Linked DNA regions of Notamacropus eugenii. The protein of the gene in region 4 interacts with the protein of the main gene of each other region in a biochemical or structural test. Links are inferred from orthologs where the notes say so. Each region holds a gene or a part of one and is shown on either strand. Other genes may lie near its edges. The genes, in order: MLANA, WBP2, PTEN and E3 ubiquitin-protein ligase NEDD4-like.

Region 1 (7,820 bases), about 100 Mb from region 4:
ACCCCCACCCCAGATGTTTCTCCTTATCATGAGAAGCTCTTCCCTTATTGTTCATTGGATGATTATTCACCTTGTTGTTTTATTCATCCTGAATTAATACATTAGCTCCAATCCATGTCCAACAACATCCATCTAAGGAAAGTCTATCTGCCCATTCCTTCTCATGGGCACCATTTCTTACCCTCACCATTGCCCCATTCCATCACCAAATAAGTCTATTCTTGGAACTTATGGGTTTGTGTGAATCATGGTATGTAGTGTTAGAAGAGATTCCTTCATTTTCTAAAGGAAATTAAGGCAGAAAGAGGTTGAATGATTTACCCAAGGTCATACAGGTGATACGTGGCAGAGCCAGGACTCTTGACTCCAATTCCAGGCTCTTTCCATTGTACTACACCACTCACCTTCTGTCTCCCAACCACCACCAAAATCCTAAATACATGAGACCAAGCAGAATTATTTTCAGAGCATGCACTGTATCTGGGTTGGGAGCTTTGGATTCGGTTCCAATAAAACAGAATTCAGACAAAAATGCAAAGTCCCCCTTTTTTCACCCTAGATGATAGCCCCTGGTCTCAAACAATCCTGAGCCTGACTGTCTGCCTAACTCAATTAAGCAGAAAGTTTCTTCCCCTTGTGTCACACATTCTGTGGGAATAGGCACAAAGCACATTTACGGACAGGCAGACACATTCTGGGATGGATAAGCCCCCATCCACAAACTACGAGTTGGAAGTCTGAGTTGGGTTTTAGACTTACTCTTCTGCGGTAATGTGAGAAGGAGACTTCTTTTTCTTGAGGTAGGCATGTATAAAGTGAGCATTTTCTTTTGGCATCTTGTGAAGGCAGAGTTACCTAATGGGAAGGATGACACTGAGATCATTCATTGAAACCAGAGCTAACTCAAGAGGCAATCCCTATGGTCTTAGTATCAGAAAACCTTCGTTCAAGTGGTGACCTCAACATTTAGATGCTGCACAGTTCTTGGCAGATCTCTTAACCTCTCTGAGTCTACATTTCTTTATCTGTACCAGGTGGATGATATTTGATTAAAGGGTTTTGCTTAACTGTGTTTTTGAAAAATATACTTTTAGCAGGGTTTGCTTGGGTGACTGTTGGAAAGATTCTTTTGTAGCAAAACAAAATGTGTCAACTTTTAAAAATAAAAGAAAATGAGGAGGGGGAATTTGTACCGAGCCTCACAGGAGTATTGTGAGGAAACATTCTGTAAACAAAAGAAAAAGGTAGGGGAAGAAAGGGAAAAGAGAAGAGAGGAGAAGAGAGGTAAGGTGAGCAGAAGAGAGGACAGGTTTTTTAATTATTGAAAAATAATAATGGAGAGAAATTTTTATTAAAAATAATAATAGCTAACACTTACATAGCACTTTGAATATTATCTTAGCTAGTCCTCAGAACAACTTTGGGAGGTAGGTGCTATTATTATCATTATTTTAGAGATGAAAAAACTGAGACCGAGAAAGGTTAAATGATTTGCTTAGGGTCACTTAGTAAGTGTCTCTGGCTGAATTCAGACACAATTCTTGCTGCCTGCTGGTACAATGCTTTTATCCGCTGTTTGACCTAGCTGATAAGATGAGTCAGATCCATAAGTGGGCTCTCTTGCTACTTTAAGGGGCTATACCTTTAACGGTCTTCTTTAAAACCCAAAATCAAAGCAGAATGGCAGGAGGAAATTTTTTTCCCCTACAGCATTTACTTACCTTCCCTTTTGACAGTTGTAGTGATTTTCTATTATCCAGCCCCCACGGAGAAGTTTATTATTGGCCACTAAATAGGAAACTAAGGGACTAGAAAAGGAAGAAGCTTAACTGTATAAATGATCAATTCTATGGAGTATATGAAGGTTATTAACTATCTTAGTCTCCCCGCCACCCCCAAAAAGTGACAGCCAAATTCCCATATCTCAGATGAATAATGTAGTGATAGGTCCTTTGTATCATTTTTCCAAATGGTATAATCCCAAATCAATTACTATTAAATTAATTTGTACTCGTAAACCCATATCTTATGCTCAGATCCTAATAAAACTGAAAGTTTAGAAGATTTTAACCTTAAATAAGAGTTGTGTGCCATGGGGAATTTTATGGAAGGTCATAGACAGCCATCATACAAGATGAGAATTCAAAAGGCCTTGCGCTGTGCTCCTGGGGAGGGCATGCTCACACTGGGAAAAGCTCTTAAAACTACCTGTGCAGGACTTTAGAGATCATCTGGTCTAAGCCCCTACAGAGGAGATAAGAACCCACGGAGGTCTCTTTGCCTGAGACCAGTTAGGAAGTAAGCAGCATAGCTTGTAATAATGAGCAACTAAAATTTAATAATAGTAATGTTAATAATAACAATACTCTAATAATTCTGTACATGTGATTAAGGTTTAAGGAAAGGAGAGGTACCACTAGGAAGGGACAGTTTAGCAGAGAGGAGAGTGCCCTGTCCTTGACACTTGGTTACGGTCCACTTTCAGGTTTTTCAAAGAACTTTTAAATATTCTCTGATTAATGTTTATATTTTAATTATATTGTTCAATATTATTTAAGTAACTGGAGCATGTGGGGGTGGGCAGCACAACAAAGGGTCAAATTGGGCAAAGTATCTAAGTTTCAAGAAGGTACTGAAATAATTCTTTCAGTTCTCTGATCTCCTTTTCAAGTAGAAACAAGGAAGAAAAAGCTTAGGAGGAAAAAGAGACACTTCCATAGTTGTGTACCTAATGAGAATTATTTTCAATGTCCACATTTTTCTAAAAAACAAACTCAGGAGAGAAATTGTACTGAAGTTCAAAGCCTGTGTGAAAAAAGGTGAACGGTCCGCGGATCCCACGCAGGGCTTCCCAAAGCAAGTATCAAAATTAAAGGGAGAAAATCCTGGCTAAGTAGAGCACTTACCTTCCTTGCAGATCTGCCTTCTGCTCTGTAGCTGGTGAGACATGTGATTATCAGCCCTCTTTTTCTTAATCTTTTTCTTTCTGAGTTTTATTCCCATGATGGTCACGGGTTGGGATTCCTGAGGCTGCAGCCTATGGAATTTATTTAATTGGCATGAAAGGAGAAAACAGAAAGGGTCTTCTCCCAACCTTATTCCATGCCTTGACATGTAAGCACTTGCTTCTTATTTTCTACACCAGATTAATTCCACCCCATTCATTTGTTTGTCGTTATCCTATGACTCCTAGAATAAAGATGCCCTCTAGATTCCAGAGAACTTGGATGGTTCTCTAATTCCCAATGATAGGAAAACTCAGTTGAAACACTGGCCTCTGACTTTTCATCTTCATAATAAAAGAGGATAAAAAATACATTAGCCTAGTCTATTTCTGGAATGAGTCAGAGTCTGAATAAGGTGGTAGAGTGGGGCATTGGACAAGGAATCAAGAATTGAGTTCAAATTTTACCTCAACCATGCAACTGTGTGCAAATCACTTAACCTTTCTGGACCTCAGTTTTCCCATCAGAAAAACAGGGTCATTACACCCAATGATTTCTAAGCTTGACATCTAATTTTGACATCTTTCAGCTTGACATCTATGATCCTATTGTAGCACAAGTTATGGAACTATAAATCCACACTTGAACTGGCTTACGAGGTCCCTCCAGCATAGCTGCTATATTTACCACTCTGGGTTCTAAGGTTAATCCTGAGTGGTTGGAACAGGACTTTTAGCTCACCAGATCCCTCCTCCACACTGTCCCAGTATTCTTCCCTGCCCCCCTTTCTTCCCCTCCATTAGCGTTTATATCAACCAATCAACCAGACTTAATTAGCTTTTAGAAAGGGTTATTTACTAAGACAATATAGTAGAGCAGTTGGCACAAAACATTTTTCCCTAAAGTCTGTGACACATTCGCTCACAAGTACATACAGAGTCTAGGAGAACCAGGGCTCACACCTGGAGAACACATGAGGTAAAGGGGCAGTACCTGGAAGTACTTTTGCTGGAGTCCTATACTATACTATAGTCATTATATTCAATTTGGGGGCCTGACTTATGTCTTGCGGCTGGACTGTGATGACTCTGGAGGAGAAAGTGAGGGTGATGACTTCGCATGACCCTGCCTCTCTTAAATCCAATTCACTTTCAAGTCAAGATATCACCCTCCTGATGACAGAAATGAAGGACAAAAAAACAATTCAATCTATCCTTAGTTCCTGATGTAGATTCCACCACCAGCCTCAGATGACCTAGGGATGCTACTAAGGAGTCCAATGGGAAAAACCAAATCTTCTGGTCCTCCAAATTTCATTAGGTCTTCTTCTGGTCAAGAAGAATTGGAGGTGAATAAATCCAAGATATTCTCTTCCCCTCTAAGCTATTCCTTATCAAGGGTGTCTCTCTCTCTCTCTTGTCCACCACCAGATGCTTGAAATTTCAATTCCAAACAAGCTTCAAGTTTTAGTATAAGCCCTATAGGACATTACCTGAGCCCTTGACCAATCTGAACAGGCTTTCTATCATCCCTGGCTCATCTCTGTGATTGACTCATTCAATCAATATACATTCTTATCAGATATCAGGGTACAGTGTTGTATCATTTATTTTAAATAGGATTGGGTAATTTTCTAGACTGACCCATCCCCCACCACACACACACACACACACACACACACACACACACACATTATAATACTATGAATCTGTGGCATATGTTAGAAGTACAAGGGAATTATGTCTCCACTAGAAAAGGGCTGATTCATACACTGTAAGTGTTTGAAGGGACCTTAAAGATGATCTAGTCCAACCCCTTCATTTTATAGATAGAGAAACTGAGTCTCAGAAAATTTATGGCAGTTAGGTGGTGCAATGGATAGAGTGCTGGGCCTGGAGTCAGGAAGACCTAAATTCAAATCCATCCTCCAACATTTGCTAGTTATGTAACTGTGAGCAAGGAATTTCATCTCTGCTTGCCTCAGTTTCCTCCCAGAGTTGATGAGAGGATCAAATAAGGTAATATTGTAAAGTGCTTAGCACAATGCCTGGTCCATAATAAACATTATATAAATGTTTATTCTATTCCCTTCCCCCTCACTTCTGGATCATAGAGTTTAAGGACTGAGAGGGACCTTAGAGATAATCTAATCTAACCCCTCCATTTTACAGAGAAGGAAACTGAAGTTGTCCATGGCCACACACAGCTGGTTAGTTGCCAAACCTGGACTACCACCAGGCTCCTAGTTCAGTGTCCTTTCTTCTCTCTCCCTCTGTCTCTCTTATTTCTCTGCTCTCTATTACTCCTTCTAAATTGTTTAATGTGTACATATCTTATATCCAAAACCAGGCTTTGAAGTCCCTGCTCCTAGAGGGACAAATATTTAGTGCCCAATGTTTCTCTTTAATGGCTGGCAACATCATGCTGGACGCATAACTAGTTGAAATCAGTTTGAAGGTCCATGTCCTCATTGGCTAGGAAAGAGAATTCATGTGCTCTGTGCCAAGTCTTAATGTGTGGGAAGACCACCTAGCCCATCTGCTTTGAGATGTCTTTTTAATAGCGTTGGAGAAGTAGAGTAATGCATCATAAGACTGGAAAGACCAAGGTGGATTTATGCTGCTCTGCACACACTCTACTGCTGGTGCCTGCTATTCCCCAGTATGCATTTTCAAAGACAGCTGACTCAGATTAGGAGTTTCAGCTTTTCACCATGTCCTCTTCCATCTTCACTGTCCCTACAGTCCAATCTTTTTCCAAACACTGTGGGAGTTATCTTTATTGTATACATTTGGTCAAATCATTCTTCTCAAAAATCATTAGTGGATCTTTACAGTTTGCTAAGAAAAATCCAAAATCTTTCCCTTATATTCAAAGCCTTCCACAGTTGGATACAATTCCACCTTTCTGACATAACTCAGAATTTTCCCCTCAAGATACAAAACTAAGCTACTCTCTTTTTCTCTGAACATGCCCTATGTTCTCCCATATGTGTGTTTTTGCTTTGGGTATTCTCCAAGCCTAGAATGTCTTCCTTTCCCCATCTTTATTTGTCAAATTCCAATTCATTTTTTGAAGTCCAACCCAAGTAACATCTCCAAAAAAAATCTTTCCTTTTTATTACATTATTTTATTTGTTTTCAGGGTTCTACAATCACTTCCATATATCTCAGATTTTTCTCCTCCCTCCTCCTCCTTCCCTCTTCCCTCCCCACTCCCTCCTTGAGACAATGTAAAATCTTACATAGGTTCTACACATATGTCCCCTATTAAATACATTTTCACCTTAGGCATATTGCATAGAAGAATTAAAATGAATGGGAGAAACCATAAAACAAATCAAAACAAAACATAATAAAAAAAATGGTCTGCTTCAATCTGCAATCCAATTCCACAGTTCTTTCTGTGGCTATGAAAGGCATTTTGCCTCAAGAGTCCATTGGGAATTTTTTAAGTCCTTGCATTGCAATGAAGTACTAAGTCTACTAGAAAAATTCTTTGTGCACACTGTGGTTGTTGCTGTGTACAAGGTTCTCCTGATTCTACTCCTTTCTCTCAGTATCAGTTCATATAAGTCTTTCCAGGCCTCTCTGGAGTCTTCCTGTTCATCATTTCTTATAGCACAGTAGTATTACATTACATTCATATACCACAGCTTGTTCAGCCATTCCCCAATTGATGGGCATCCCCTTGATTTCCAGTTTTTGGCCACCACAAAGAGAGCTGCTATAAATATTTTTGTGCATGTGGGATGGTTCCCCATTTCTATGATCTCTTGGGGATACAGTCCTAGAAGCAATATTGCTGGGTCAAAGGGTATGCACATTTTTGTAGCCTATGAACTACGAACTATGGTTCCAAATTGCTCTCCAGAATGGTGGGATCAGCTCACAGATCCACCAATAATGAATTAATGTTCCAGTTCTCCCACATCTTCTCCAACATTTATCATCTTCCTATTTTGTCATGTTAGCCAATCTTATAGCTGTGATGTGGTACCTCAGAGTTGTTTTGATTTGCATCTCTCTAATCAATAGTGATTTTGAGCATTTTTTCATATGACTATAGATAACTTTAGTTTCTTCCTCTGAAAACTGCCTGTTCATATTCTTTTACCATTTATCAATTGGGGAATGACATATTCTTGTACATTTGACTCAGTTCTCTATTTTAGAAATGAAGGTTTTATCAGAGATACTAGTTGCAAAAGTTCTTTCCCAGTTTTATGCTTCTCTCCTAATCTTGGGTGCATTGGGTTTGTTTATGCAAAAACTGTTCAATTTAATGTAATCAAAATTATCCACTTTGCACTTCATAATGTTCTTTATCTCTTGTTTGGTCAAAATTTCTTCATTCTTCACAAATCTGACAAATACACTATTCCTTGCTCCCCTAATTTATTTATAGTATCAATCTTTATTCCTAGATCATGTATCCATTTGGACTTTATTCTTGTGTACGGTGTCAGGCATTGGTCTATGCCCAGTTTCCACCACACTGTTAGCCAGTTTTCCCAGCAATTTTTGTCAGACAGTGAGTTCTTATCCCAGAAGCTGGAGTCCTTGGGTTTATCAAACAGTAGATTGCTATATTCATTAACTACTATGGCTTGAGTATCTAACCTATTCCACTGGTCTACTCCTCTGTTTCTTAGCCAGTACCAAGTGGTTTTGATGATTGCTGCTTTATAATACAATTTGAGATTTGTTAGGGCTAGGCCACTTTCCCTAGCATTTCTTTTCATTAGTTCCCTTGACACAGAAAAAGCTTTTGACAAAATACAATATCCATTCCAATTGAAAACACTGGAGAGCATAGGAATAAATGGAACTTTCCATAAAATAATAAGCATCCTAAAACCATCCACAAGCATTA
Region 2 (7,512 bases), on a different chromosome or scaffold from region 4:
ATTGTAAGGCCAAGAATCCTGGAAGGGTGGAGTGTGATGGCAAGCAAAGTGGGATCTTTTGCTGTTTTTGTTCTAGTATAAAGTGCCTCTGACTGAATAGTGTGATTAAAGAAGATCTTCCCCAGTCCTTATGGGCTTGGGAAGCTTTGTAGGAAGGCCCACACCTTTTATTAATGAGGCACTAGTTCTCAAGGGTTGTGATGCCCTCTGGCTCTAAAAAGGGTATAAATACTTTGAGGATTAGATTTTACTTTGGGGTTTACTGACTGGAAGTGTTTGTTTGGTCAGAGGAGACTCTGGGCCGCCACTAAGGAGCCCCCTGGCTTTGAAAACCCAGATGTTGGTGCTTCCCTCTCTGGTAACTATGGTCAGACAGTAGGATATATCTGTTGATTTGTGATATATGTATTGGTTATGGTCAGATAGCTGGAAACCATGTCTGTTGATCTTTGATTTCTCTGTATTTTCTCTGAAGTTCAGGGTGCTGATTTTTTTCCCTGAACTAGGGGAATGATATATGTGCTTGATTAAAGGAGATTGTTAACCTCTCAAAAGTTGCCTTTCCTTTTAGAAATGCAGATTAAAGAACCTGTGATAGCAGGCCCACCTGTGTATGTCAGGGTGCTTAGTTACTCCCTGATAGATACTGATAATGTTTAATATAAAATTTTGGAATAATCTCTTTGTTCTCTCTGAAGCAAACTCAGAGAATGCCTCTTCCTATGTCAACAAAAGCCTGCCAGGGCTGACTTAACATTCCTTAAGAGACCTTTAACCTAAGACACTATCTTGAATAATGGGACGTTTTCCATATCTTAACATTTGTAGACATATCCTATGTTATGGCATGTTAATGGTAAAGAAAACACAGACATCTTGGGTGGTAATTTCTATGTGAAACTTTGTCAAACTCTGTTATCTTATTGTATTTACAACCTATGCAATTAAGAAATTCCTTTCTAATGTCTAGTTAGTCACTTATGGAGATCATAAATCTGAAGGACACAGAACACTTCTTTGTCCTAAAACATATTTAAGCCTGCCCAATTCTTTGTATCAGTAGCCAGAACATTTCTGGCTCCATAATGCATTATGTTACCATTTTCTTTAATAGGGAATTGATCAATTAATTAATTAAATCATAAAATGTATGCATTTAGCCTGTTGCCTTTTCTTTAACCAAGTTTTCAGGTCAACAAGTGTTTCCTAAGCTTTGCTAGGCTTTTCATATCCCCAAAGCCAGCTTTTTTTAGTAACAACCTTGCAGACATATAAGTGGTAGTGTTGAGGTCAGGGAAACATTTGTTGAGGTTTAGAGTGCTTGGGACCCCAAAATACTGACAACCCGGGCCCTGCCTGAATGAATTCAGCCCAAGCCTTCTTTCAACCAAAGTAAAACAAAGTTTATTAAAGATTCACCATATTGGGTTGACTCTTAAGCCTCACCATTTGTAAGGCTTGTATTGATGGTAGGCCAGATAGAACCTCAGCAAGACTGGATCAGAGCCAGATTGAATCTGAGCACCTTTATGGAGGTAAGAGGGATCTTATATACAGAAAGACTGTGGGAGGAATTCTGGGGGTGGTCTAGTAGTCAGGGGTGATGAAAGGAGGGGTAGGGAGGGTCTTGATGGAAGGGGGGCGGTAACTGATCAAGTATGGGAAGCAGCCAGTAGCAATCTGGAGGCAACAGACAATGGAGGGCCAGGCTAGGTTAAGGGTAACAGATTTGGGTATGAAAAGCCCCATTAAGTGGGAAGATTCAAGAAGAGTTCAAGGAGGTTCCCAGAGTCTGTACCCCATCAGAAGAGAGTTCCTGTGAAGATTTTTAGGACTTTGCTACCAGGGGGTGGAATGTAATAGGAATAATATTTTTACATAGGGTTGGTGTGTTTTCTCTTTAAAGAGGCAAGATCAAGATCTGGCTGGTCTGGGCGGCTAGAGGCATAAGAAGTCTAGCCTACATATACTTAATATTCCTGAGGTTTCGTGGAATTCCCATTGCTTTCATCCAGCATTATCCTGGAGAATGAAGATGCAGAGGAGAGCAGCATCTAATTTTAGCAAATTGTATACTTTTAATTTTATTGTATTTAAATCTGTTTTTGTTGCATTATAAGGAACACAATATGGCATTTCAGTCGCAAGCTTGAATTACTCAGTGGACTGAACTAAGCTAGGGCTGACCCAAAAGAAATGACATTTATTTAAAACACTGTCCTTCGATGTTTATGTATAAAGGTTATATCTAAGTGGTTGTGGACAACCAATCAGTCTGTAATGATGCTCTGGTTCCACTATATTTTATCTGTGGACCTCTCAAAGATATTTTAGGATTTGGTAGCTGGGACATTTGTTCCCAGTTAGTTTTAAAAGATAATGAGTTTCTGGTATGTAATTCTAGCCATCTCTCATGTCTTTCTGGCTAACCAGAAAGTGAATGAAAAAAATCCATGAATAAAAAAGGATTTATTAAGCATTCACTGTGTGTAAGGCATTGTGTCAAATGCTGAAGATACAAGTTCAGTCAAACCAGACAATTCCTGCCCTCAAGGATCTGCTATAAGAATTTTCAAGCAGAACCAGGAGAACTTTGTGCACAGCAACGACCACAGTGTGCGAGAGTTTTTTCTGGTAGACTTGGAATTTAGTAATAACGCAAGAACTTCTTAAAAAAAAAAAATCCCAATGGTGGTTTTCTAAGGCAAAATGCCTTCCACACTCAGAGAAAGAAATATGGAAGTTATTCGCAGAATGTAGCAGATCATGTTTGTGTGTGTGTATGTTTTTGTGAATCATGTTTTGATTTGTTATATGATTTCTTCCATTTATTTTAGTCCGACTACACAGCATGACTATAGTGAAAATGTACTCAATAGGAAAGTATATGTAGAACCTATACAGAATTGTATGCAGTCGTGGGGAGGGAGGGGGGTAGTGGGGGGGGATAAAATCTCAATTGTGTGGCAGTGATTGTTAAATATTAAAAAAAAAAGAAAGAAAAAAAATTTTCAGTCAGCTACACTGCAGTCTATTTATCCATTCAACGTGACATAGTCTGTCAGCAGGTGATGGGCATGTGCTTCTCACAATTCCACAGATGACATACATACATTAGACGTGTGTGTGTGAGTTTGTGTAACTTCCTGACCCATGGACAGTTTTGGAAGACATCAGGTAGGGCTTACAGAGAGGAAATGGTATGGAAAGGATGCTTAAACGGTTACAAGGCCTTTCCAGCACAGCCATTTAACAGCATCTTCTTCATCACTCAGTGAATTAACATTTGTTAAGCTCCTACCACCAGGTCTCATACATTAGCTGGGACAAAGGGAAGTGGGTGAGCTCCTGGAAAACTATTCAAAATCCTCTGAATTTTCTTTGGCAACTGAAAAGTGATGGGAAGGAAGGACTTACTGAGGGTGTGCATTCAGCGTCACGCAGAAAAGATTTTAAAATACATAGCAAATAGAACATCAAATGAAGCCACTCACCTTCTCCCAAAACATCCACTTTTGGCAAAGCTTATAGGAAGACATAGGAAATAATGTCAAATAGAGTAATATTTAAGGTGATTCGGGGGCAGGCCTGTGGCACCTCCAGATCCTCGGAAAAAGCCTCCCATGCAGGGACCTAGGCAGGCAGAGGGCTCCTGCGGGGAGATGCCACGCTGGAAGCCACCTCGGGGGTCGCCGAGCCCCTCACGCGGCCGAAGAGGAAGCTGAGGCCCCGAGAGGCAGGCTGGGAGGCCTCGGCCCAGGCCTAAGCAGGAGGAGGTCCGGGGACGCTTCACCAGCCAGCGATCGATGGGCCCAGATTGAACCTCAACGCTGGCTGGGCTAGGCCTGGACGCCAGGACGAGGATTCCTAACCTGGGACCGGTAAACTTGGTCTGAAGATGATTTTGATCATCTCCTTTGTAATCTTACCTATGGTATGCACTGAAGGTCACTCTTCCGAGGAGTCCACACACAAAAACTTAGAGAACTCGACCTACCCCCCCGCCCCCAAATCCTGCGCAGGACGCAAAGTCCCCAGGGTGGTGCGTGACATACACTTTCTGACTTGTTCCATGTATTGATTTTGCTTGTTTTATTTGGGGGGGAGGGCGTCTCATTGTTTTTTCTTTAAAAATGTTGTTCACCGGGTGCCTGAGGGGAGGGAGGGGGAGAACCAAAGGTTGAAATTCTGGTGAGGTAAAAAGCAATTTAAAAAAAACCTAGCTCTAGAAGAAACAAGGAATTACTTGAGATTTTTGGGCACGGGGAAGACCCAGATTGGAAATCAATATTCCCAGTTCTTCTATACATCTTTCCAAACTAGGAACTCTAAGTCCTTCGCCATTTGGGTGCTCCGGAAGTTCAACAGCTCCTACAGTCTAGGGCGAGGCCAGAACATTGCATGCCGGGAACTGTAGTCTTCGGACTTGTTTGTGATGAAACTGCTACAAAAGAGCAAGTGTAAGAGGTAGAGGAAAGCGATAGAAGGCGGAAGAAGGGGGGAGGGGGAGGAAAACGACAGGCGAACGCGTTCACGTGACTCGAGGGTCAGGTGGTTGTTCCTCTCCTGCCCGCATACGCACCCTGTGATTGGCTGGAACTGAATTCCGAACGACGACACGCGGGGCTGGGCACGGAGCGCAGGCGCACTGTTCTCCGAGGTCTGGAGCGGGGCGTCTGTGCGGCCCGGCCATGGCGCTCAACAGGAACCACTCGGAGAGCGGAGTGATTGTCAACAACACGGAGAAGTGAGCGGCGCCGCGGAGGGATTCGTCGAGGCTTCTTAAAGGGCGGACAGGGAGGGGGGCGGGGAGGACGTTGGGGTGGGGGCGAGTCGTCGAGGGAGGTGGGGTCAGGGTAGTGTAACGGCCTGGGCAGAAGGAAGGAAGGAGGGGGCGGGAAATCTTAGCCCTCCCCCGTCACCTACCCCTCCTGGAACTGCCAGAGGGGCCTAGGCCTGCAGCAGCTGGGGGAGGGGAGGGAACTGAGCTTCCTGGGTGGGCGTCGTTGGGGAGGGATTGGGGACCAAGGACAGCGTCAGCTTGGGGGAGGGTAGCCGCGTAGGAGATTTGGCTGGAATGTTGGGCCTCTCCGCGCCCCATCTGGTGCTGGAATCCCCTTTACCCCCCCTCCCCCACTGCGGGCCCGGCTGGGCCAGCCTCCTCCTCCCCACCCCCGGAGCCGAGGGAGAATGACGTCGGAGCTGAGAGCGGCGCCGGGGGTCGTCCGGCCCCTCCCTCATTCTTCAGGTGGAAGATGATGAAGGCCAGAAAAGGGAACTAGACGGGAAGGAGACTCCTGATTGCTACCCGCCGTCCTACTAAAACACCCACCCACCCCCACACCCCTTTCTGCTCTAAGACTCGCAACTTCTTGCACTGCTGGGGAGAGGCAGCGAAGACTTGACTCCTGCTTTCACTATGTGGATGGAAGCTCATTAAATTTACCGAGTACTTCCTCCTATTTGGAGGAGGCTAGGGTGGTCATGCCATAAATGGTATTGCAGTCAAACCCCCCCCCCCCAAAAAAAACCCTGGTTCTGTGTTCACTATTTCTGCCCCTCTCCTTTGACTACTTCAACATAGGAAAGGATGCCACCCCTCGAGCATGTCTCGCTACCTGCTTCAGGATAGCCCTACAACGCCAAAAGGACCACTGTGCCAGTTAAGAGGAAAGAAGTACTTAGGGACCAGAACTCATGTTGAAGCAGATTGGCTCAAGTGTGAGCTTAGACTTCAAAAAGATGACCTCTTCACCTTCCCTGCATAGGACCCAACAGGCTTATCCTGTTTCTGATAATTAACCTATTTTCTCCACCTGCATTTGTTTCAAGTTCTGTTCCACCCATCCTCTTAAAAGTGGAAAGGTTTTCAGCCTGGGTCTTCTTGGTATTTCCCGTACAGGACACTAGTGTCCCCATGCTGTTGCACATTTTGCCCCCCAAGTCTGGACTTTATCTTAGAATCACTTGTTTCAATCAAAATTCAACAAAAATTTAATCTTCTGTGCAAACCTTTCCTGACTGTCCCTTCCCCCATCTGTTAGTGTTCAAAGTATCTCACTTATTTTGTAAATGGACATGCACATATAAATAGCTTGAGGGCTGTGGTTTGTTTTTTTGTCTGTATATTCCCTGCATCTAGTACTGTGCCTGGTAGATAAGTAAGAGCTTAATAAATGCATGTTTAGTGATTAATTGGTTGGAGTAGGAGGACAGACTCAACCACCAGGAATAGTTCATTTGATTTTTATCTTGTAAGTAGAGATATCCCATGATGCTCATTGGTTTGTGACCTTTTTGTGTCCAAACAGGCTCTTGGAACAAGGAAACACTGTTGCTGTCTTTCAGTATCATCTCTTGTGACTGTTTTTTATTCTTTCTCAGTGGGAGTTTCTGGGACAAGGACTACCTCTCGCTTTGCCTCCCACACTTCTAAATGCTCTGTGACTGTTAAATAAGGATATGCCTTGCTTTATATAAATTCTTTAGTTTCATTCCAGGAAATTAGTGTATAAATTGAAGTTAAGATTTGAACCTCCTTTGTTCTTTTATTATTTGAAGGAAACTTTAGTGAGTCCTTTAATCATCATTTCATAATTTATCTGTTTTACATTTTCTTTAAGTGATCATGCCTGCAACTAGACATTTCATAGAATTATAGAGTTGGAAAAAATTTCATGGATCTTCTAGTCCAGGTGTGGGGAACATTCAGTCACATGCGACCCTCTAGGCCCTCAAATGTCGTTCTTTGACTGAATCCAAACTTCAAAGAACAAATCCCCTTAATAAGAGGATTTGTTCTGTAAAACTTGGACTCAGTCAAAGGCTGCACTCAAGGACCTAGAAGATCACAGGTTCCCCACCCTTGGTCTAGTCTAATCCTTATTCATAACATGAATGTTATAATAAACACAATGAGTTGCCATCTAGCTTGCCTTTGAAGATTAGGGTGAAAGCGTTGTCTGTGGTGGCATCAGCTTTAACCTTGCAAATTGGAATTCTCCTTCCTTATCTGGCACTTATTCCAGATGGAGCTGGTAGTGGTATGTTTGAGATTCTATAGTCTACTGCTTGTTGAGGGGTGGGGGTGGGGGGGATGGATGCAGGAGGAGAAGAGGAATATAAGGAAATAACACAGCTTTTTATTCACACTTCAAGTCATATCTCTAATCTCCCTTATAATCTTCTTGCTCCCTTCCCGTTGTAGTATTCTAATGACCTACGATCATGTGGAGCTCTCCTTCAGTGACATGGATCACATGACAGATGCCTTCAAAGGAACCAAGAAAGGCAGCCTCTATTTGACTCCTTACAGAGTAAGTCTTTGGAGTCCTTACCTGTCATTTTGAGACCTGACATTTTAGAAGAGTGACTCAGGTTTCTAGCAACACTGACACAGGTCAGTGAGTTGGATGGCCCCTGAAACATTAATGACTTTTTATTTTCCCATCTCCCATGGTGTTTCTTTGTCACAGGCTCCTCCCAGGACTCTGGGAGTCTGCTGTGTCTCCA
Region 3 (7,349 bases), about 140 Mb from region 4:
CAGGTCCTGCTCATTTTACAAACTAGGATGATCCTTCAGGGTCATTCAGAAGAAAACACTTTGTAAATGTGTGCTCTTAGAGTTACTTTATGATTTCTAAGCTGGATTGAATAATTTGCTTTATTTGCTGACAGTTGGGGGAGGGGTGGACTCTAGCAACAGAACAAGGAATAATGATGAATGTTTTGATGGTGCCTTAACTAGTGTGATTCCACTTGTCATCTTGGTGATGAATTTCCTGGACCAAAGTACACTTCTCAGACCACAACTCCCCAGGATGTGTTGCCTTCTCTTTGTAGAATATAAGCTCCTCGAGGGCAGTTTTTCTTACCCCAGGGCTTTGCACAGGGCTAGGCACATATGAAGTTCTACAAAATGTTAGCTATTATTATTGGGGCACCTAGGTGATGAAGTGGACAGAGCACAGGCCCTGGAGGCAGGAAGACCTGAGTTTAAATTTGCCCTCCGACACTTACTAGCTGTGTGACCCTGGGCAAGTCACTTTGCCCTGTTTGCCTCTGCTTCCTCCTCTGCAAGATGAGCTGGAGAAGAAAACAGCAAACCATTCTAGCATCTTTGCCAAGAAAACCTTAAATGGAGTCATAGAGAGTCAGACGTACCTGACCAGAACAATCGTTATTGTGGTTGCTGGCGCAAAGAAAAGTTTAATGTTTCTGTTTATCAATATTTTGTTCAGGTTTGCCATGTGCTTTCCAGATCTGACTTGGGTCTGGCTCCCAGGGTGGGTGCCTCAGTTTTTCCCTACAGAGGGCTTCCACTTCTAGGAGAGTAGCCGTGTCCTGGAAGGTAGTGCTTTGCCTAGACCCCGGGGGTGCCTGTAGCTATCCGGTGACTGGTTCCTAATTGTTATTTTGATCGGCCACGTAGCCTTAACTAGGACATCTTCACCAAGGCCTCATGTGCCTCGGCTGGCAGTCTTAGGCCATTTTTCCGGCAGCTGTGCTGCTGGGGACTCTCCGGACTCCTCTGCTGACGGCCTCTGGTGCCAGGGAGGCCTGGGGTCCCCTCCTCCCCGGCCCAGGCTGCACGCTCTACCCCAAATACACTGGGACTTTCCTTGCCTGCCTCCGAGGAAGGAGCAGGGAGAACACGTTATCGAGTCCCAGTGGGCCGAAGAGTTAGCTAGGCACGGGCTCGGTGGCATCATTACTATGTAGATACTAAGCTGGGCCCACGCTCCGGGGAAAGAGGAGAGTGGGACCCTGAAGCCCGGGATATGGACATGGGTGGGGCGTGCCACCTGCAGCGGGGACTGCAAGCCCAGAGAATGAGAGCAAACCCCCTAGAGTCCGGGCAGCCAGAGCCGTCCTGGCCTCGGGAGGACCAGCCAGGACAAATTTCACAGACACAACCTCTTTCCCGCCCCGCCCCCAGCCCCCAAGGTCCCGGGCCCGATCCGGCCCGGCCCGGGTCCGCCTTTCCCGGGCCCCTTGGGAAGCTCGAAGCTGGACAGCGGTGGCTGCGGTCCGGGGCAGTGACAGCCGGAAGGCAGCCCAGCCGGAGGACAGGCAGCGGGATCTGGGGCCTAGGCTAGAGCCTCAGTTTCCTCATCGGCACAAAGGACTGGCTCGGCTCCCCAAATCGGGCCTGCTAGTCCTCAACTTGGAGGGAAGGAGCCAGCGCGAATCATTTATTAGACCCCTTCAGTGTGCAAGGCTGTGGCCTGAGACAAAAGGGTCTCTTCCTCCCAGGTTAACGCACCGCCCCTTTCCTGGGTCGCCGCCCCCACCCCCGAGGAGTTCAGCCAATGTTCAGGTCCGAAGAAGTAAGCGGCCCAGAACACCGCCCCCAAGCAGGGGGAGGGGGAGCCTGGACATCCGCCCCCCCACGTGATACTGCCCCGAAAGTAGTTCGGCTAGATCGGCGTATTCTTCCACCTCCCCCCGCCCCCTCTTAGGTCCCGAGTCAGCCCACTGGAGAGGCACGCCCTCCCGCAAACCATGCGCACTGTAGCCCACCGGCCCCGAGAGCTGGCGGTGATCCCCAGCAAAATCCGAACCGGGTCTTCCTAGCCGCCTGGGAGGCGGGGACTAGCCACGATCCTGGGGACCGAGCGTGGTGGAAAGGGAGGCAGGGGCCATGTCCCAACCTCCTGCCACAGACCTTTCTCCAAGTGGGGGCATCCTTGGGGAGAATGGGGGGATTTTATTATTATAGTGGGGATCCTTTCTTGGGGACAGCTCCTTTATCGGGGGGCGCCCGGGGGAGCAGGGGGAGACACAACAGACGGAGACACCACGGGAGGCTGACACGCTGAGGAGTGGGAATTCCGGGCAGGTCCTCTCCCGGCTCGGGAAAGGGGGCGGGGGTTTGGGGCTGGCACATCTCCCTCCCATCCCTAGGCGGTGGGGGAGGGGCAGAGGAAGAAAAAACATAGAAAGTGAAGCTGGGAGAGGGGGAAAGGCGGCCTCAGCCGCACCCCTCCCCCTTCTAGCATTCCGGGCGGGGGTCTGCCCGTTGGAGGGGGATGGCAGCAGCCTCCCCCCACGTGATGGCTAGGAACGGAGCAAAGCACCTCGGATAAAGCAGAGGCGCCAGCGGACGTTCGCCCTCCCGGAGGTTGGTCCCGCCCGTGCTGGGCTGGGGGCCCCCCGCCCCCACCTGGGAGCAGCCGAGCCCGCCCCGGAGCCGGCCTCGGCACTGGGCATGCGCGGCATCTCGGTCAGCCCGGCGCGCCTGACACCTGACGGCCCGTGCTCACCCAGGCCCCCTCCCCCCGGCACCTTTCACTTCTCCTCCCCCCTCCCCCAACCCCGCCCCCGCCGAGCTCCCTTCCCTCCCCACCCCCACACTTTCTCCCATCACTTCCATCGAGTCTCCTTCCCCTCAGTCTCCTCCTCCGCCCCCATCACTTCTTCCTCTCGTCCCCCATTACGTCTCCCTTCCTCCACACGAAGACCCCTCCCCCCAGATTCTCCTGGTCCCAGCTCTCCCCGGTATGAGTTCTCCGCCCTCCCCACGAGTCTCCGTCTCTCGGTTTCGCTCTCTCTCCCCCTCCTTTTCCCGTGGCAGGCGGTGATGTGGCGGGACTCTTTGTGCGCAGCGGCAGGATACGACGTGCCGTCGATGTGTCCGTGCCGTGTAGGAGGAGCGAGGAAGGGGAAGGGCGGGGCTCTGCGCCGCGCTGCTTCTTGGTTCGCGACCACAGGCTCGGCCCGGTCTGGCTAGCTGCGGGGGGCGGGGCCCCGAAGCGGGGGCGGGGCGCCTGCATCTCGGGGCGGAGCGGGGCACAGACGCTTGAGGGCGGGGCCTTGGCCTGCGGGGCCGACCTTGGGGGGGCGGTACCCGGGCGGGGGCGGGGCTAGGGGAGGGACTGAACAGAGCGCAGGCGCTCGGGGGCCGGGACGGAGGGTGGGGCGGGGCTGAGTCGGAGACGCGGGGGCGTGTCGTGTCGTGGAGCGGAGCCGGGCGCAGGCGCATCGGTAAGGGGGCGGGTCTGGGGGGGCGGGCCTCCGCCTCGGTCGGGGAGGCGGGGAGAGGGGGGGGCGGCCTGGTCCCGGCGCAGGGCGGCGCAAGGCGCAGGCGCAGGCGTGCGGAGCCGGCCGTGGCTCCCTCCCGGGCGCGAGCTGCCTGGTATCTCCCGTCGGAAGCTGCGGCCGCCGCGGCCATGATGGCAGCTGAGTGAGCTCCGCGCCCGCCGCTGCAAGCCGCCCTGCGAGGCCTGGCCAGGCCCGGCGAGGCGACGCGAGGCGGGACGAGGCGGGACGAGGCGGAACGAGGCGGGGCGAGGCGAGGCGAAGCGAGGCGCGGCGCGGCGCGGCGAGGCGAGGCGGGGCGCGGCGAGGCGAGGCGGCCCCGGCGGCGATGCGAGACGGCGGCGGCCGCGGCCCCGAGCCCCGCTCCGCGCCCCCGGCCCCGGCCCCGGCCTAGGCCGGCGCTCCCGCCGCGGGGCCCCGAGCGGCGGCAGCCCCGGCCCCCCCCTCCTCCACCACGGCGGCGGCGGCCCCGGCGGCGCCCCCCCCCGGGCCTCGGGCCGCCGCGCCGGAGCCGCGCCTCGGCCTCGTTCTCCTTGTCGCCGTCGTTCTAGTCCGCCGCCGGGGCCGCGGCCGCCGGGCCCCCCGTCCCTGGGGCAGCCTCCTGCAGCGTGGGCCGCGCCGCCTGATTGCCCGCCCGGGCCTGCCGCGGCTGCGGGCCCGGCCCCGGCCGCGCCGCGGGCCCCCGCGGGGCCCCGAGGAGCCGCACCCGCCGCGCCCGCGTCCGCCGCCGGGCCAGCCGGGGCAGCCTCCGGGGCCGCCGCCGGGCCCGCCGCCGCGCCTGCCGCACCCGCAGCACCAGCTCCCGCGGGCCCAGGCCCAGGCCCAGGCGCCGGCTCGCGCCGCGGGCAGAGGCCCAGGCCGGGCGCCCGGCTGCTGAGCAGGCCCCGCCGCCCGTGCCGCCGCCTCCGTCCGCCCGCTCCCTCCCTCCCCCCGCGGCCCCCAGACATGACAGCCATCATCAAGGAGATCGTGAGCAGAAACAAAAGGAGATACCAAGAGGATGGATTCGACTTGGACTTGACCTGTATCCTCCGCGTCGGAGCCCCCTCCCCTCCCCCTCCCAGAGCATCCCAATCCTGCTCCCCCTCCGGCCCCCCCCCCGTCCCCCAGGGACCAGCTTCTGGGGCTCAGACCCAGGGTCAAGGCCAGGGGCCTCCCCCAGCCCCCTCCGGGGCTATTGTCCCTCGGTTGGTGCGGAGGGGAGCATATTAGCGAGCTCCGATCCGGGCCCCCCTGGGGTCGCACCTGGGAACTGGGAACAGAGCAGCAGGGAGCCCGCCGGCCTGGGGTAGGCCCTACCTAGACCGAGGGTCTGGAGAGGAGGTCGGGACTAAGGCTCGCCTGGACGGGATTGCATCAGAATCTTGCAGGGATTCTTTCTGGGCCCTGGGTCGCCTCGATAGATGCCCTAAACTGTGAGTCGAGGGGCTCTTTGCAGGGTCCCAGGTGCTCAGCCGCGGTCCCAGGAGGTGAAGGGGAGATGCCCCCCCCACGCCCCAAGAACCAAGTTAATGACCATTTGGAGCCGAATTTGGTAGTTTTGTTAAGATTTAGACGTTTAGCGCTATAATCGACCCTCTAAGGCCTATGCTTATCTGAGGTCTTTGTTAAATGTGGTGGGGTTTTTTTTTGGTTTTTTTTTTTTGCTCCTGGTAGGCCGATATGTCGGTAAGACATGAAATGAACTGTTCAGCAGCGTTTTATGTGCTGTGTTTATATGCTGTGGAATGGACATTGAGTAGTTTTGATCCCTAGTGATAATGTCAAGGCGATCTGTGGGCATTTTGTGTCTCGAGTGGTTATTGCAAAGGTTAAATTTAATGTTGGTTGGAAGTTTTAAGTTTTATTGTGAGGCCAGGTTGATAATCGGCGATATTTATTTTTCGGGTCCTCCTGGCGTCTTAGTGGTCTTGATAATTTTGATTTACACTTTTAGTGAGATGGAAAAATGTGGTCTGTATTTTTACTAGTTAACATGTCCTGGAAGAGCTGGTAAGATGTCACTGTACCTATTTTGAATCGAGTGAGTTACATTGTAGATTAATTGTTAAGGCTTTTAAATGTTTAAGTTTACCGAGGCAGTTATTGACAAAGAGAAACCTAGAATTTTGGCCGAGACTTTGCTCTGGAGGGATTAAGGTTAGACCCTTGCATTCAAAAGAGGGAGGCCTTCAAAGCCCTTTACTGTCATCCCTGTAGTTTGGGTTTTAATCTAACCTGAGAATTAAATTCATTTTCCTAATTTGCAAACTCATGAAAGGTACACTTTTTTACCCAAACAATTCATTGCCTGTTGGTATGCATGTACGGAGAAATGTAATTTAAAGTAATTAGGTTTTTGGTGTTCAGGTGACTGGAGCGTTTTGGACATAGGGTGGTGTAAATGCAATAGTAAACCATACGGATAGAGTTGAACAGATATGGAACATGAGATGGATTTTAAAAAAATCAAAAATCATTACTTTGTTTTGACAGTGCCTTCTGTGGAAGTGACTGCCTCTTGCTGGTACCTTTCCATAGGAAAGTTCTAAGTCTTGACTATAGGGCCTTGTACATTTAAGCATACATATCTGTCCTCAAAAACACTTCAGTAATAATAGTCAGTGATTCAATGGACAGAGTGACATTTAAACTACTCTTTTTACCTGAAATGTTTGGAGGAGAATATGATAACAGAATTTAATGTCGAAAGAATTTGGTTCCCTTTCATATTTATTACATTTATACTTTTGCCACCTTCTACTGTTTTATTAAAATTTTATGTTAATTTTTATGCCAACTGAATGTAAGCATACATGTGTTTTCTTAAAAGTAGACACGTTTTGTTAGAGGAATTTACTAAACATAGCTGAAAACAAAACATATTCCTGTTAAATTCTTAACATGGTATTTTTAGAGTAACTTTGGAAATTGAAGAGACTGCATCGATTGAATGTAATAGATACATTTAAACTGGACAGCACTGCCGAGGACGTCACTCATTGCAGATTTTGTTTTATGATTTGTTTTTACCAGCAGTTCATTTTTGGGGTCAAATTATAATAGTGGTTGTCTGAGAACTAGGAAGAAAACCTTTTCCTAATTAAGTGCTTTTAGTGGGCTTTTTGGGTCATGTTAAAAATGGCTGAAATGATGTCCACTTTCAAATTATGAAGTCTGCAAAATTTAAACTTGATTTAATTAATTATGACTCTCTGAATGAGTATCTAAATTATGTCATTATAGTCATTTTGCAAGTCTTTTACCAGGTTCTTATCTGAGCAGCAAAATGCTATTCTTAGGGGGATGGGATATAATTTTCCTATGGTCAGCTACTTTTGGCATGTGTGCATAAAATTTATGCAACTTAAAAACAATCACTAGAGCAAAAGATCATTGAAAGCTTCTCTTCCTAACAATTTTTGATGCATCAAAAAATGTGCTTGATTTAACTGTCAGTCAATCAACAAGCATTTATGAGGGCCACCCTGTATGTGGTATGGGGTTTTAAAGATGCAAGTGAAGCAGATTCTGCCCTGCAGGAGCTTATCTCCTTAGCAGACAAAAGTCTGCACTTGACCAGCTCCATTTCTGGTTATTGTGGGAAAACATTCTAGTAAGAAGTAAGGAAGACATTATCACTCTCTGGTCAACTGTAGTGTCTTTAAAAAAAAAAAAAGTGTCCTCAAGTTGAATCTGTGAAAAGTAGAAAAATCTTATTTCCTGAAAAAAATAAAGTAAAACTGTATTTTCAGTTGAAAAGCATTTATGTTCTTTGTCTTCCAACTCTCCCTCCATGGGGGAGAAAAAAGGAAAACAAAACCCTTGTAACAAAGTATGCGTAATCAAACAAGACATTCCATATTGGCCTTA
Region 4 (7,594 bases):
TGAGTTACTAGGGTCAAGGGTCAGCTGCAGCCCTTCTTTCCCTTTACAGATCAGTCCCTCCTACCCCATCACTCCTTAGAGTTCAACTAGACAAGTACAACCCCTTCATCAGCATTTCAAACTGAAATAATTTTTTTAAATCACATTGAATAAGAAGTCCTTTTTTCTTAAAAAAGAAAAGAAAAGCAATCTTCAAAGCCATTTTAAGACAATCACACAAGAGGAGGCTGAAGTGTTGGTACTACTAAAACAAAGAGTCACCATGGCTTCCTGTAAGTTGTCTACAACACTGGAGAAAAGACTGGTTCTGGTACTGCCATCACTAGGTAAAGAGAGAAAAGCAAGCAGCCCCTTCCTCAATCTTAATCTCTTACTCCTCTCAGCACAATGGAAAGAGGAGGAAGTTCACAGTCAGATCTCTCTCTTTCCCTGGGATACAGTAATTAAGGGACATAAAGCAAATAGAGGCATTTGGAATCTTGGCAGGGCAAAGGCCAGACCTCCAGTTTATCCACTGGGGTGAACTCTACATGCAGGTGGTTGTCTATTACATGAAATGTGTTGTGGAGTCTGCAGTCTTAAATTCAAGAATTGAGACTTCTGGTCTTGACTGATGATTGCCTGAGACCATGGGTTACCCTGCCCAACTCTGCTAGAGAGGTGTAAAAGGCATGGGGAGCAAACTAAATTAGCCTTGGCTAACCCACGGAGGCATGCAGAGGCAGACACCTGGAACAGGGCCAGATATTCCAAGTTTGGGGTTTTTTAATTGCTGGAGGGAGGAAGCAACTAACTAGAAAAAAGCAGATATCACTAATGAGATACCAAATCAGCACAAAAGAAGTACTAGAAAAGGGGAGTTAAGTTTTTCAGACATTTTGCCAAGGACTTATTCTGTTTCTGAGATTTCCAATCTAGAGATCTAGAACATAGTAAGAGAAGGAGAATGAGTAAAAAATTCATACCATCAGAATATGGCTCTGAAGAACCCAGAGAGTCCCAAGCCTGCCTAGACCAGTGTAGGTCTACCTAAGAAATGCCTAAGGCAAGTATCCGTCCTATAGAACTAGCAGCAAGACAGTCTTTCTAATACTTTTTAGAGCCAGAAGGGCATAGTGTTTTTCTCTTCTTGTTGAAATATTAGCCAAAAATTAATGTAGCAATTATCTAGCACTTACCATACATACATAACCGTTTAGTACATACAGGAATAACAGTGAATATATTTCCATCAGAAATTATCTTCTATCAGCATATATACATAACCAGCAGATGAAATAAAATATTGTTGTTCAGTGGTGTCGACTCTTTGTGACCCCATGGATCACAGCCAATCCTTCACTATGTCCTGGTATCTGTCCAAGCTCATGTTTGTCACCTTCTATCCATCTTATTCTCTGCCATCCCTTTCTCCTTTTGCCTTCAATCATTCCCAATAAGTAATTCTCCTTTAATCAAATTATATTTAAAAGGAATGAAAGGCACTGTTCTTTATTATCAGGACTCACCAAACCAATATTACTAAGGATAGGGACTGGATCTATGATTTATGGGTCTAAGGAACTTCCAATTACAAACTCCTGCCAAGGCAGGTGTGTACCTTCCCTCCAATTTCTGGCCTTAGAGAGTTGCTTAGGATACTTCAAGTGATTTGCCCAATAAGTGTCAGAAAGAGCACTTGACCTCAGTTTTTCTTGATTCCAAGGCTTATTCTCCAGCCAGTATGCTCATAAAAATTGTTTTATAAAGGATCTACATAAGGGAAGATAGGAGAGATTATATCAATAAACAGCTGAGAAGCATACAAAATATGTTCTCTATTAGAACGTTACCGAAAGAGATCTGATCTCCTCAGCCACCAGCCCCGTACATGTTGCAGCTGTGTTTACATAGTTGCTAACGCGCGGACGCCGCCGAGGGGGCACACCTTGGGAGTATACAATGTTGCAGATTGTTTCCATTGGCTCTGGGAAGGGGAGTGAAACCTAACTGGCCTTCACGGAACCGCATCACCGCAGCGGGAACTTCCAACGGGAGCCCGGGCTCCACGCAGGCCGGACCAAACCGCGGAGGGGCCGAGGAGAGAGATCTGCTGGAGCTGTCACCCACCAGGGCTTCACTGAAGCGTCATGTCAGGAAGCAAGTTTCAGTTCAGTTTAATCTCAGTTAAGTAAAAAAAGGAGGGGCCGAACGCTTTCTATACTGGCTCTGGTTAGTAAATTCTCTCTTCGGCCAAGCCCGAGCCCCAAACGGGGTAAAGAAAACAAAGCACGAGGAGCCGGGGGCCGCGCCCGGGCGCCGAGCCCGCCCAGGCCAGGTCTCCCGGCTCGGGCCGGGCCCGCTGCGGCCCGGGATGCTCCAGGTGAGGCGCGAGACATCCCCGGATCTCCGGCTCAGGTTCCCCCGCCCCCGCCGGCACGCGGGAGAACTGCCCGGGCCCTCGCCCGGGCCCCACTCTGCACGGCTAGAAAGGGGGTGCAGATTAGGCTGGGGGGGCTCGGTCCCCAGCAGCCCTCTCTAACTCTCACGAGCCGGCTCTCCGCGGGTCCCGCCCTTCCCCACCCGGCCGAGCCTGCGAGTCCGGGGCCGGGAGGTGAGAGATGTCCCAGCCCGGCCTCGAGCTCCCTCGGGTGGGGGATGGGGCGGGGGATGACAGGGACCAGCGGGTCTCCTTACCTCATCCTCCAGAAGGCCGAACACCTCCGCCGGAGAAGTTGCCATGTCCCTGCGGGGCCGAAGAGCTCGACTCCCTCACCCCTGGCCCGGAATCGTAGCGGGAAAGGGAAGGGAGGTAGGAGAGGGGAGGAGGAGGAGCGAGAAGGGGGGCGGGGGGCGGAGAGGCTGCAGCAGCGCCCCCTGCCGCGGGGGAGAAGAAGAAGGGGCCCCTTCTGCCTGAAGCGGGGCGGCCTGGGGCCTGGGGCCTCGGGCCTCGGGGAGGGAGTAAGGGGAGCGGGGTGAGGTCTGCGCGCTTCCTTCCCCGGCCCGAAGCCCGGGCGGAGCCAAGTCTGCGGAAGGGCTGGGTGCGACTCGCCGGGGCGGGCGTGGGAACCGCTGGAACCTCCGCCCCCCGAGAGCGCCCAAAGTACAGGATGACGGGGCTCGGCTGCGGGCCTCGGGGCGGCCAGTCCAGGGCTGGGGGCGGAGCCGGACGCTCCGGTGCTCTGCCTCGCGCAGACTGTCGGGCCGGGCAGCCGCGGGGGACGGGGGTGTCCCGGGGGGCAGGGGTGTCACGGAGGGGTAGCGGGCGCCCCGGGGACGGGGGAATGCCCCAAGAGGAGAGGGGTGCCGCGGTGGGGTGGGGGGTCCCTCAGGGAGCGGGGGGGTGTACCGGGAGGAGGGGGTGCCGCGGTGGGGTGGGGGGTCCCTCAGGGAGCGGGGGGGTGTTCCGGGAGGAGGGGGTGCCGCGGTGGGGTGGGGGGTCCCTCAGGGAGCGGGGGGGTGTTCCGGGAGGAGGGGGTACCGCGGTGGGGTGGGGGGTCCCTCAGGGAGCTGGGGGGTGTTCCGGGAGGAGGGGGTGCCGCGGGGGGGTGGGGGGTCCCTAAGGGGGCGGGGGTGTCCCGGGGGGCTGGGGGGCGCCCCCGGCCTTAGCCCAGCTTCGCCAGCCCGCGCCCCTGCCCGGATCTCATCCCAGTTCCGGTCATGGCTTCTGTAGTAGCCTGTTATCCCCCCACTACGGAGCGCCCTGGGGTACCACGGAGTTGGGATTTAAACTCAGGCTTCCCAACTGTCGTGGGTCATGTGACCTCCCTCTCCCAGATTAACACCAGTTTTTCCTCGTTGAATTCACTTCCATTTCTGAGCCTCTGGTGGTTTGTAAAGAAACACTTCTAAAAGGTTCCCAGTTATATCCTTTTGAGTCAAGGGTGGAGAGAACAATGCCATATTTTTATTATTTTCAAAATAATTATTTTGAATTATATAATTATATATTATTTTATCTCGTTTCATGTGTTTATATGTTAATTATGTATATTATACACAATGTTGCACTTTAACGTCGGATCCTTCCCCAGGCTTTACCCGACACAAGCGGTGATCCAGATATCTAGGGCACAAAGGGGAAAAGTCAGCTCTTTGGTCCACCTCCTATCGTGTCTGGACAAATTAACAAATGGTAGTTCTGTGATCCCACCTTCGAATTTAACAAGTGGAGGAAAACGACACATCGAAAGATAAAACTCCATCTCTCACCTCCATGTTCCATGAGCCACCCATTCCTCATCCCTGTTCCATTTCTGGAACCATAAACTGGTGATCGTTCAGAGAACTTGTCTGTCTACTCTGCTCCGGTCACACTCGCTAAGAACACTTTCTAAGATTAAAGTGTCCAGCCGCCACCACTCCACTATGTACATCGTTTCCACCATTAGAATGTAAAATCTTTTAGGTCAAGTCTACAAGCATTTTTTTCTTCTTTTTTAAAAAAAAATTTATTTGTTTTCAGTTTTCAACAATCACCTCCATAAGTTTTAAATTTTTTTCCCCCTTCCTTTTCCCCCCCTCCCCAACACAGTGTGCAATCTTATATGGGTTCTACACATACATTCTTATTAAACACATTTTCACATTAGTCATATTCTACAAGCGTTTATTAAGTGCTTACTGTGGTCTGTGAATTGTGCTAAGTGCTGGGAATAGAAACGCAAACAAAAAATAGTCACCACCTTCTAGGAGCTTACTTTCTAAAGGGAGAAGAGACACATGAAAGGGGACTGAAAGGTGTTGGGGTAGTACCTAGTGAGGTCAGAAAATCTTAGGAATTCCTCCAAGAAAGGATGACTGGCTTGGGCCTTTCTTCCAAATGGAGGGAATGGGAGAGAAAAGTTCAGGGTGAGAAGGCCACAGCTGCTGCAGGACTTCGGTGTTTTTTTATTTGTATCCCCAGCACTTAGTACAGAGCTTGACACTACTACAGTTAAGCACTTAATAAATGCTTTTGCATTCATTTAGTGATCAAATTACAGTTAAGCTTTTTAAAAAGTCAGTAGGCTAGAGAATGGTCATATCACCTACCCATTTACTATTCCTGCTTCTTTCTAGTCTTGAAATCAGAATAATTTACCAGTGAGGCCACCTTCAGAGTACATCAAATTAGGGAAATTACCTTGGGCCCAATGTTTTGGAGAACCCTGCCTAGGCCAGGCAGGCCAGAAGGACCTGAGGGCACAGCAGACTAGCAAAGAGACAGGGCCTGAGAATGGGTGCTCTTGACTAGGGCAAGCATACATGAAAAGATGTATGGGATTTTAACTGTGAGTTGGCATAAATACACTTTAGAACAGTGGTTCTTAACCTGGGCTCCATAAACCCTTATAGATTTCAGGAGATTTTGTAAACTTGGATGGGGGGAATAATGAATCTTTATTTTTTTAACCTCTGATTTCCTTTGTATCTTATGTATTTTATTTTACACATCTAAAAATTCTGAGAAGGGATCTTCATCAGACTGCTAAAGTGGTACATAACAGAAAAAAAGATTGAGAACCCCTGCTTGAGAGTTACTCAGCCAACCCCTACTCTTGCTGGAAAGCTAGGTCCTGAGAGCAAGGCTTCTCCATCTCCCCTAATGGCCCTAGAGAACCCTGAGGGGCTGGGTGGCTGGTGGCTTTCAAAGGCTATAGTTCATCAGCTGAGGCTGGGAAACCCCATCGTTTTCTTCTTCCCCATCTGTACCTCAGCAAGTGATTTTTTTTTTAAAGTACTTTACCCATAGCTTTTATATCCTCAAATGCCTGACTCCAAACTAGCCTTCTGGTGTATAAGTCCCACAGGGCACGACCACATTGTTAAACCTATGTAAACAGATTTCTTATTGCACCTTGTTGAAATGCTTTGATTGAATAGAGATATCCACCCTCTAACTCTGTAACCCTGGTCAAATCACGTAACCCTGTTTGCCTCCGTTTCCTCATCTATAAAATAAGCTGGAGAAGAAAATAGCAAACGATTCCAGTATCTTTGCCAAGAAAACTCCAAATGGGGCCATGACTGAAATAACTGACACACAAGAAATAATCCAGGGTATAACTGATAAGGGTCTTGAACGAGGATGGTGTGTATGTGAGTGGAGAGAAAGGGACATGCTATAGATTAATTATAATACAGAAAGTGAAGGAGAGTTGAACTTGCGAGTCTGAAGTCGTCAGTGGTACGCTCAACAAAAATTGGAAAATTTGGAAAAGAATTAAAATTAAGTGGGAAGATTTTGCAAGTTGGGGTGCTTACCTAATCCCTTGAAGTGTAGTTTGTGACGGGAGACTACAATTAGAAGAAAGATGGGGGCTGATTTGGGATACAGCTGTTGAGACAATAATTGAAACCAAGAGGGTGCTACAGAACCAGGACAATGCATTGGGGGCATAGGTACATTTAAGGGTCTCTACACAGATGAATATTCCACAAAAGGGACTGAGAAGCAAACAGGGAGAAAAGCTAAGAGTTAAGGACCTCAGAGGAGGAACAAACATTTAGAAGGAGGGCGGATGGTAAGTGATGTCAAAAGATGCTGAGGGGTCACAAAGGAAGAGGAATGAGGAAGTGGCTCCCAAGAGTTAGCCACTAGAGGTGGGTCACTGATAACCTCAGAGAGATCCCTTTCCGTTGAGATGTGGTGTCTGAAAACTGGTTGCAAGGGGTTGAGAAGAGAGTGGGGAGGTGAAGTAAAAACTGCAAGTGTAGATTTTGGTTTTTATGAATTTGTTTATGAAAGGGAGAAGGTGTATAGAATGGAGCTTAGGGGAGCTGGCAGGTCTAAAGAATGAAGACACCTGGGATGGGTACAATACAAGGTGTCTTACAAGCATCATCTCTCTTTATCCTCACAACAACCTTGACAGATCAGTGCTAATATTATTCGCATTTTGTAGCTGAGGAAACTGAGAGAAATAAAGGTTAAGTGAATTGCGCAGCACAGCTAGTGAACGTAGGAGACTGAATTGGAATTCAGATTTCCTAACTACAAGTCCTGTGCTCCACTGCACCACCTAGCTGCTGATAATAATAGATAGCATTTATGTAATCCTACTATGTGCCAGGCACTGTGCTAAGCATTTTATAATTATTTTTTTTATCTTAGCTGCCTAATGTTTGAAGATCATGGGGGGAAAGGAGAGATTGAGGATGACAGAGGGGGACGGATGATTAATCAACAAGATTTATTAAGCACCAATTATATACCAGGTATTGTGCTCTACAAATATAAGTGGGGGAAACAACAGGTACACAGATAAGTACATAAAAGATACAGATAAACATAAAGTAGTTAAATACAAGATATTTTAGGAAGGAGACTACTAGTAGGGGGAAAGTGGAGCTGAGGAAAGATGTCTACGCAGAAGGTTGGGCTTATGGTGAGTCTTGAAGGAAGAGAGGGAATCTGTGAAGTAGAGGAGGAGACGTGCATTGCAGGAAGGTGGGCAGTCACTGCAAAGGCACAGTCTGGAAATGGACTGTCTTGTGTGAGAAGCCAGATGACTAATGACAGTGGAGGGAAGTTTTGTAAGGGGAAGCTAAGCAGTGCAGTAGATAAGAGTGCTGGGCCTAGAGTGAGGAAGATTCATCTTCTTGAGTTCAAGTGTAGCTTCAGACACTTCCT

Evidence for each region.
Region 1: the proteins of E3 ubiquitin-protein ligase NEDD4-like (region 4) and MLANA form a complex in vitro, tested with the Homo sapiens proteins (2 studies listed by BioGRID and IntAct, with this or other methods). The link is inferred for Notamacropus eugenii from reciprocal best matches to the Homo sapiens genes NEDD4 and MLANA.
Region 2: of the proteins of E3 ubiquitin-protein ligase NEDD4-like (region 4) and WBP2, one has a biochemical effect on the other in vitro, tested with the Homo sapiens proteins (6 studies listed by BioGRID, with this or other methods). The link is inferred for Notamacropus eugenii from reciprocal best matches to the Homo sapiens genes NEDD4 and WBP2.
Region 3: of the proteins of E3 ubiquitin-protein ligase NEDD4-like (region 4) and PTEN, one has a biochemical effect on the other in vitro, tested with the Homo sapiens proteins (7 studies listed by BioGRID, with this or other methods). The link is inferred for Notamacropus eugenii from reciprocal best matches to the Homo sapiens genes NEDD4 and PTEN.

Annotation. Positions count from the first base shown.
Region 1 is NC_092872.1:38,760,457-38,768,276, forward strand, and holds the start of MLANA (melanoma antigen recognized by T-cells 1), read right to left. Parts: upstream 3,006-7,820; 5' UTR 2,907-3,005; intron 856-2,906; 5' UTR 837-855; coding exon 760-836; intron 1-759. UniProt on the Homo sapiens protein: Involved in melanosome biogenesis by ensuring the stability of GPR143. Plays a vital role in the expression, stability, trafficking, and processing of melanocyte protein PMEL, which is critical to the formation of stage II melanosomes.
Region 2 is NC_092873.1:342,036,148-342,043,659, reverse strand, and holds the start of WBP2 (WW domain-binding protein 2), read left to right. Parts: upstream 1-4,509; 5' UTR 4,510-4,691; coding exon 4,692-4,747; intron 4,748-7,207; coding exon 7,208-7,316; intron 7,317-7,512. UniProt on the Homo sapiens protein: Acts as a transcriptional coactivator of estrogen and progesterone receptors (ESR1 and PGR) upon hormone activation. In presence of estrogen, binds to ESR1-responsive promoters. Synergizes with YAP1 to enhance PGR activity.
Region 3 is NC_092872.1:279,320,285-279,327,633, forward strand, and holds the start of PTEN (phosphatidylinositol 3,4,5-trisphosphate 3-phosphatase and dual-specificity protein phosphatase PTEN), read left to right. Parts: upstream 1-4,374; 5' UTR 4,375-4,442; coding exon 4,443-4,521; intron 4,522-7,349. UniProt on the Homo sapiens protein: Dual-specificity protein phosphatase, dephosphorylating tyrosine-, serine- and threonine-phosphorylated proteins.
Region 4 is NC_092872.1:140,798,177-140,805,770, reverse strand, and holds the start of E3 ubiquitin-protein ligase NEDD4-like, read right to left. Parts: upstream 3,008-7,594; 5' UTR 2,722-3,007; coding exon 2,677-2,721; intron 1-2,676. UniProt on the Homo sapiens protein: E3 ubiquitin-protein ligase which accepts ubiquitin from an E2 ubiquitin-conjugating enzyme in the form of a thioester and then directly transfers the ubiquitin to targeted substrates. Specifically ubiquitinates 'Lys-63' in target proteins.